Macaca fascicularis: one gene and its partner. The protein of the gene in region 1 purifies or fractionates together with the protein of each later gene. This does not show direct contact. Links are inferred from orthologs where the notes say so. Each region holds a gene or a part of one and is shown on either strand. Other genes may lie near its edges. The genes, in order: CD33 and PTPN6.

Region 1 (4,479 bases):
CTGGGGAATTCCTGGTGTGGTAGGGTACGGGATGGAAGAAAGTGCAGGGCACAAGGACGCACAAACCCTCCTGTACTGTCACTGACTCCTGCACTTCCAGCCTGACTCTTGGATCCATAGCCAGGGCCCCTGTGGGGAAATGAGGGTCAGCTTGGCCCAGCCCGACAACCCCCCTCCCAGCAGTCACTCACCTGCCCACAGCAGGGGCAGCAGCAGCAGCGGCATGTCTGAGGCTGAGGTTTCCTGGGCTCCCTGTGTGAGCAGAGAACAGGAAAGGAGTGGAGGAGAAGGGCTAGGGGGCCGGATAGGAAGCTGGGGAGGAGCAGGAGACCTCAGCCCTGCATGGAAGAGGAACCTCAGACCCACACGTGCTCAGAGCTTGTCCCTTCCACACAGATTGAACCTCATGGGCCAGAGATGCCAGAGATCCGCCCAGAGAGGGGAGGAGATGGAGCAGAATCTGAGTCTTGCCTCCCAGGAGCACCGGAGCCTGGACCAGTACCTCCGGGGCCATCTGAGACATGCAAACCCCATGTCTAAAATCCTTCCACTCTGAGGTACTTTTCTGTGAACAACTGTTTGCATGGGGGCTGGTCACTGCTGGCCTGGCCCGAGTCACAGGCTCGCCTAGATCCATGGGGTGATTTGTCCAGCAGGATATAGGATTCTATAGGGTCTGTGTGAGTGTCTGGGGCAGAGAAACAAAGAAGAGTCCTAGGTAAAGTGAAGGTGGCAGCCATTCATTTCTTCATTCATTCACTAAAGACATAGTGAGTGACAGAGCAGGACCACTGTCATCTCAGACAAACACCGCCACTTTAAGTTCCAACTCCCTTTCTAGCCTCATGCATTTCAAGGAAATCACTTCTCTGCTAACTACCAGCAGCCAGAAAGAGCAGACCGGTGAAACACGGATAAGACAGCTCAGGCACAGAGGGAGGTTGGGGGGAAAGTCTCTTGAGTTATTGCCAAACTTCACTCTCATCCAATGGGCCCTAGTAAAACAGTGGGCCTTAATAAGCACATTCCTTTGCCTTCAGGTGCACTAAGTTGGAAAGCTAAATGCAGACTCAGTGGGTATGCCTGCAGCTGCAAAAAGATGTATGGGAACAGATACACAACTCTCCCTCCCAGATAAGCACAACAAAGACACACAGAAGCAGTCCAAGCCTCTGATAAACCCTCCCACCCTAAATCCTTAAAAACTCTTAGTCTGTAAGAGAGTGTGCCTCTACCTAACTCAGCCAGAAACTCCTCTCAGGTTTGTTTTCTCTAAAACCTGTCTTGACTGGCGAGCCACCATACATGTTTCTTTCTTCTTTCTTTAATTCTTACATTGAGCCTTTGTGTGTAGGTGGGGCTTGAGAAGAGATACCACTGACCTGATTCCTGCCCTTGAGATGTTCCCCATCCATAGCCTCATGTCCTCACCACACACACACATATACTGTCTGGATTTAGAGCTGTGAAAAATTGGGAATTTGCCATGTGTCATGGGAGCATATTGGAAAATTTGAAAGAAATTTGACTATAGAATTTTCCCCTGGCAGCTAGTACACTGCTTTGCACAGTGTCGATGACATCTCCAAAATAAGAACTATGCAGCATCTTCCTGTAAAACAAAAGGGAGAACACATGTTCGTTCTATGAACCAGTGCAGAAAAAAACTTTTTTCTGTTCATGCTGTTATTTGGTTCAGTATGGGCAGAAGCAAGTTTTTTTAGAGGCTCATGATATGGATCAACATTTTCATGTAAAAATCTGCTTCTCACAGTTAAATATGGCCCAAAGACATAATATTTCCAGACAACATGAGTGGAATGTACAGAGAAAATTAAACTTTAGGTCCAGCTACGTGGTTGTCCATATCACTCTGTGTAGTATGCATCCAGCAACCCTTGATCCCTGGGACATATTAGTACTTGCCACCTTACCTTTGTCAAATCTCTACACACAATAGTATCTAGATAACTCTTAATTCGTCCTTACTAATAGAGAGGTAGAATCCTCATTTGATATACAACAAATTAAGTCTCCAGTAAATAATATCTGTTGTAAGTTATTTAGCATGTGGCACATAATGGAAAATTCAGTACATTTAGTGCTTTTTTTTTTTTTTTTTAAGACAGGGTCTTGCTCTGTTGCCCAGGCTGGAGTGCACTGGCATGATCACAGCTCACTGCAGCCTTGACCTCCCAGGCTCAAGTGACTCTCCCAGCTCATCCTCCCTAGTAGCTGGGACCACAGGCTCATACTACCAGGCTGGAGTAATTTTTTGTTTTTATTTTTAGGAGAGATGGGGTCTTGCTATGTTCCCCAGGCTGGTCTTGAACTGCTGGGTTCAAACAATCCTCCCACCTTGGCCTCCAAAGTGCTTTGACTATGGGCGTGAGGCACTGTGCCCAGTCACATTTAGTTTTAACAATAAAGTCATACTATGTTCATGGACCAGAAGATCAAATATGAATATGTGAGTCTTACTGTGTTTCTTTAATGAATTTAATGAAGGCCCGAGAACCAAGAGCAGATGGATTTCCCAGCTCCAGAAGAAGGAGCAAGCTCATGCTTCCCTCTAGCTCTTTCCTTCTACGATTCTGTCATCTGATCCTTGGCCCCAGCAGAGTCCCCGCTCCCTGGCTGGAGCCTGAAAGAGAGAGAGAGAGGATGGGGAGGAGGGACCTCTCCTGGGCCCTGTCTCCAACATCCTCCATCGCCACATAACAGCACATCTAAGAATAAAGCGCATGCTCAGTGCAGGTCTACACGAATGAATGCTTTAATAAATGGTGGGGGCTGTTTCCCTACCTTCTTCCTAATTCACACTGCAAAGCTGCCCCTGATGAGGCGTCCCTCGTCCGTCTTTTTCTTACGGATGCGTCTGCTTCCTGCGGCAACCCCCGCCGAGGCTCCCACGTATGTCTGTTTCTCTCACTTTTCAGGAGCTCTGAGCGGCCTGTATGTGTGCATCCGTGCTGCCTCATACCAGGTAGAGCCGCAGTCTATTCTCTTCTGCAGACGGAAGAGCAACGTGTGTTTGCTTTGAATGCAGGAAGTACGTTTGCTCCCATGTGCTGAAAGATTTTGTTGTAAAACTTCCCTGTAGTGTGGCGCCAAGGGAAGCCCTCTTCTCTCTCTGCAGCAGTTCGTGGGATGACTTTTTTGTTTTTACCAACCTCCCATCCAATACGGAGCAAGCCACGGGAGAACCTCCTGTGATCCTCAACACACGAGAAGTGAATGAGCGAGTACGTCCTCCACCGTCGGGACCAACTTTCACGGGGATTTGTAGAGGCTGTAATTCACAGTATGGCCACCAGAGGGCAGTCATAACCCTTCACTTTCCAGTCCTTTCACACCAAAGACACATCAGGTCAAACGTCATGTGAGACTTGTGCAAACAGCTGGAAATAGTTTTTTTTTAATTGGAGAACGCTGTTAGTGAGCCTTTAGTATTAATTAATTATTAATTTATTATTAACTGTTCTAAATCCTTTACCTACAATAGATCTTTTGAACCTTATGAGAATATGAGAGACAAAAAACACATCACCCCAAGATATGGCTGTAGGAGACCAAAATACGCCACCCCAAGATGTGCCTTTTTGGCATAAAGATTATTTCAAGAGCCTGTAGACACAGGAGACGCTCTGAGAACCAGGGAAGAAGTTCCCTTTTTTATTTTTATTTTTTATTTTTTATTTTTTTTTTATTTTTTTTTGAGAAGGAGTCTCGCTCTGTCGCCCAGGCTGGAGTGCAGTGGCCAGATCTCAGCTCACTGCAAGCTCCACCTCCCGGGTTTACACCATTCTCCTGCCTCAGCCTCCCGAGTAGCTGGGACTACAGGCGCCCGCCACCTCGCCCGGCTATTTTTTGTATTTTTTAGTAGAGACGGGGTTTCACGTTGTTAGCAAGGATGGTCTCGATCTCCTGACCTTGTGATCCGCCCGTCTCAGCCTCCCAAAGTGCTGGGATTACAGGCTTGAGCCACCGCGCCCGGCGAAGTTCCCTTTTTTAAAGGGAAAATCACATCTACAAAGGAATCTCCAACAGCGAAGGGGTCTCCCTCTGTACCTGGCAGAGAAGACGACTCACTCACGAAACTCTTATCAAGGGAAGAGGCACCCATGTGATCTGCAAAACAAACCTCGCTGTTGTTTCCTGGTGTGTTTCCCTGTTGCCTTCCGATAACTGGCCTGCCCACACCCTTCTTTCTTTGCTTCTGTGGAAGATGCTGTTTAAGCCTGAAGTCAAAGCCACCTCTTTGAAATTTACTCTTTTTCCCTGGGTGTCTCCCATGTGCACATGAGGTATACAGGTTGCTAACCTCTGTTTTTCTTTTAATAAACTTTTGTTACTTGGGTTCTTCCCAACGGAGGACTTTGAAGTTCTGTCACTCATAGTTTTGAAAGATTTTCTTCTTATTTCGAAGGGAAACTTAAACTCCCCACCATCCTAAAAAGAAGTACATGATCTTTTTCT
Region 2 (3,805 bases), on another chromosome or scaffold:
TCCCCTTCAGTGACATCATCCAGGGCACCCCAGAGCCCCCTACACCACTCTTTCCCTGGTGGGGTTGTCCTCCCCGCCTCCCTGGGGGAGCGCACCCCATTGGCCTTCCTTGTGACTTGTGTCTCTCTGTCCATCTCCCACCACTCCCTGTGGTGTGGCCTTGGTCTGTGTTTCTCTTTGCCTCTGGTCTCTGCCGGGGCACAGCCTGATCCTTCATGGAGACTCTTCCTTAGTTTCCCTCTTCCAAATATTTGGAATATTGCCAGCCCTTCTGCCTTTCAGAGGTGGTCTCTGGGTTCAAAGCCTGGTCAGAATTCTGGGGGCTAAGATAGCTTGAGCCTGGGAGGTCAAGGCTGCAGAGAGCAATAACCGTGCCCCTGCACTCCAGCCTGGGCAACAGAGCTCTGGAGGCTTGCCTTGGAGTCCATCAGGGGCCCTAGGCCAGTGAGTAACAGCTCAGCGTCAGTTTCCTCATCTATAAAATGGGGGTAATATCATACCCAGCCCTCAGCATGTTTGTGAGAGGCATCAATACGATGGTGGATTTGGAACCATCTAGCGCAGTGCCTGGCCACAGTAGGTGCTTGATTTCCTGCCCCTCTCTGTGAATATCTTTGCTCAGCGCCTTCCCCTGTGGCCTGGGTCTCACCTTCCCTGACGCTGCCTTCTGTAGGTGGTACCATGGCCACATGTCTGGAGGGCAGGCAGAGACGCTGCTGCAGGCCAAGGGCGAGCCCTGGACATTTCTTGTGCGTGAGAGTCTCAGCCAGCCTGGAGATTTTGTGCTATCTGTGCTTAGTGACCAGCCCAAGGCTGGCCCAGGCTCCCCGCTCAGGGTCACCCACATCAAGGTCATGTGTGAGGTAAGGCAGCCAGGTGGTGGGGGAGCCTCTGCTGAGGCTCCTGTCTGTGACCGCAGTGTGGGTGGCAGGGAGGGTCTGCCTGGGCTTGAATTCAAGGCTGGGGCCCAGGGAGGGAGACTCGAGCCCTGTGAGTGGCCTTATTTGGCTCCCTCCAGGGTGGACGCTACACAGTGGGTGGTTCAGAGACCTTCGACAGCCTCACGGACCTGGTGGAGCACTTCAAGAAGACGGGGATTGAGGAGGCCTCAGGTGCCTTTGTCTACCTGCGGCAGGTCAGGCGGGGACCCAGCTGCTTCCTCCCTTCCCCTGAGCTGTCCCCCAGGTGTGAGCTTCTGAGACCTCTGAGTTGCTGACTTCTCGCTCTCCCCTATCCCAGCCGTACTACGCCACGAGGGTGAATGCGGCTGACATTGAGAACCGAGTCTTGGAACTGAACAAGAAGAAGGAGTCCGAGGATACAGCCAAGGCTGGCTTCTGGGAGGAGTTTGAGGTGCATGGTGGGGAACCGGCAGGGCTGGGGCAGCTGAGGCGGTGGCGGCCGCGTGGGGCCCCAGGCGGACACCTTCCTCCCCTTGCCCACCTCTGCTCCTGACCCACCCCACGTGAGCTCCCCTGATGGGTGCTCTCTCTGGGAGGTGATGCTCATTTCCTCACCCACATCTCAGAGTTTGCAGAAGCAGGAGGTGAAGAACTTGCACCAGCGTCTGGAAGGGCAGCGGCCAGAGAACAAGGGCAAGAACCGCTATAAGAACATTCTGCCCTGTGAGCACCCAGCCTGCCCCATTCACCCAGGAGACCGCCCCACCCCAGCCACTGCCCCTGCCCCATTCACCCAGGAGACCGCCCCTGCTGCAGCCGCTGCCCCTGCCCCATTCACCCAGGAGACTGCCCCGCCCCAGCCGCCGCCCCTGCCCCATTCACCCAGGAGACCGCCCCACCCGAGCCACTGCCCCTGCCCCATTCACCCAGGAGACCTCCCCTGCTACAGCCGCTGCCCCTGCCCCATTCACCCAGGAGACTGCTCCGCCCCAACCGCCGCCCCTGCCCCATTCACCCAGGAGACCGCCCCGCTCCAGCCGCCGCCCCTATCTCACAGGTCTCCACCCTCCACTCCAGGAGGGGCCATCTCCCCACACCCCTTCTCCAAAAGGCCTCTACTCCTCCCAGAAGTGCCTCCCCACCATCAGCAGGCAGGCTGCCCCTTGCTCCTAACCTCCTTCTTGTGAATCCCCTCACTCCCTCCGTACAGATGATCCCCCACCCCTGCTGCCCACAGTCCCCCGCAAGCCTCATGGCTTCTGAGACCAGAACGGCCTGTTAGCTCAGGAGGGTCTGACACAGGTGTGGTGAGTCCCTGGCTGACCCAGGCCATCTCGCCTCCTCTCCACCCACTCCCAGTTGACCACAGCCGAGTGATCCTGCAGGGACGTGACAGTAACATCCCGGGGTCCGACTATATCAATGCCAACTACATCAAGGTCAGTGGTGTGGGTCATGTGGGAGGAGAGGCTGGGCCCTGGGAATTCCCTGTCTGGTGGGGGACCCTAGATCCAGAGACACCTGGGCAAAGCCAAAGCTGGCTTCTTGCATGGGTGAGGGGAGCAGTGGTTCAGGCCCTGTGCTGGGCTGAGGGGCTCACTGTTTTGGGGTGCGTCTCTCCACGCTTGTGTCCAGAACCAGCTGCTAGGCCCTGATGAGAACACTAAGACCTACATCGCCAGCCAGGGCTGTCTAGAGGCCACGGTCAACGACTTCTGGCAGATGGCGTGGCAGGAGAACACCCGCGTCATCGTCATGACCACCCGAGAGGTGGAGAAAGGCCGGGTAGGGCACCCCGCCCCATCCCCACATCCGTGCCCCGTCCTTGTGGTCATACCATTAAGTCAAAGAACCGTCAGATGCCAGAGCAGAAAGGGATCTCGGGGGTGAGGGTCCAGCCTTGTTGGGAAACTGAGGGCTAGTGACAAAGTCTCGACTACACGATGCAACCCCCAGATCCCTGCATGCACCCCTGGGCTCTTCTGAGCTCCAGACCCAGGTTTTAGGCTGTCCTCCTTCCTCCTACACCTTCCCCACCTGTCTGCATCCAGGCCCCTCCTGTCCTCCCTGCCCCATAGATGTCTGTGGAGTCTGCCCCTCACTCTGCAGCCTCCCCTTACACAGCACCCTCTGTGCTGCCGTTGAAGTGATGCCATCCGTGACAAACTGGGTCGAGTTCCTTCCCCTCTGAAATCTCTTCCATGGCTCCTGGTCACCTTTGGGATAAAGTCACACTCGAAGGCCTGGCGTTCAAGGCCTGGTGGTTTCCCTGTGACTCCCACGCTTCTCTTGAAGGCTCACCGCTCCCAGCAGCCGCGGCTCTTTCAGGTTCCCAGCCTTTCTTTGCACAAGCTCTTTTCTGCTAGGAAATGACTCTGTCTCCACACTGTCTCCGCCCGGCAGATGCCTCGTGTTTGAAGACACAGCTGAAGCGCTGCCTTCTCTGTGAATTCAGGTCTTGTTTTCTCCAGGACCTAGAGGGCGAGTTTCCTCGTTCCCAGCCACGCTCCTCAGCGCGGCGTCTCCCCGGTCACTTGTCTCTGTGAGCTCCTCCAGGCACAGGGGCACAGACTGGGTGTTAGCTGTGTCTGTGACTACAGCCTGGTTTGCACGGCTTCGGGGACAACGCCTGCCTCGGCAATGTTTGTTGAATGACAAATGGATGTACCAGTAAAGCGGCTGGCCAGGTCGCACCACCTGTTGGTGGCTGATCTGAGACGAGAGCCCAGGTCTCCTGCCTCTCTGCCAGCTCATCTATCCATCCAACAAACGTTTGGGCTGGCGCCAGGCACTCAGAACCTAGAGCGGGACCTGGGATGGGCCACAGCGCCCTGCTCTGTGCCTCATCCCCACCCGACCCTCCCTTTCCAGAACAAATGTGTCACATACTGGCCCGAGGTGGG

Evidence for each region.
Region 2: the proteins of CD33 (region 1) and PTPN6 purify together in Homo sapiens (co-immunoprecipitation; 4 studies listed by BioGRID and IntAct, with this or other methods). This does not show direct contact. The link is inferred for Macaca fascicularis from reciprocal best matches to the Homo sapiens genes CD33 and PTPN6.

What each region holds. Positions count from the first base shown.
Region 1 is NC_088393.1:59,037,141-59,041,619, reverse strand, and holds the start of CD33 (myeloid cell surface antigen CD33), read right to left. Parts: upstream 3,014-4,479; 5' UTR 2,806-3,013; intron 2,645-2,805; 5' UTR 2,482-2,644; intron 1,613-2,481; 5' UTR 1,416-1,612; coding exon 1,383-1,415; intron 281-1,382; exon of another isoform or gene 253-280; coding exon 192-252; intron 130-191; coding exon 1-129. UniProt on the Homo sapiens protein: Sialic-acid-binding immunoglobulin-like lectin (Siglec) that plays a role in mediating cell-cell interactions and in maintaining immune cells in a resting state.
Region 2 is NC_088385.1:7,893,858-7,897,662, forward strand, and holds part of PTPN6 (tyrosine-protein phosphatase non-receptor type 6), read left to right. Parts: intron 1-673; coding exon 674-863; intron 864-1,018; coding exon 1,019-1,135; intron 1,136-1,239; coding exon 1,240-1,353; intron 1,354-1,528; coding exon 1,529-1,625; intron 1,626-2,261; coding exon 2,262-2,341; intron 2,342-2,537; coding exon 2,538-2,687; intron 2,688-3,026; coding exon of another isoform or gene 3,027-3,047; exon of another isoform or gene 3,048-3,230; intron 3,231-3,773; coding exon 3,774-3,805. UniProt on the Homo sapiens protein: Tyrosine phosphatase enzyme that plays important roles in controlling immune signaling pathways and fundamental physiological processes such as hematopoiesis.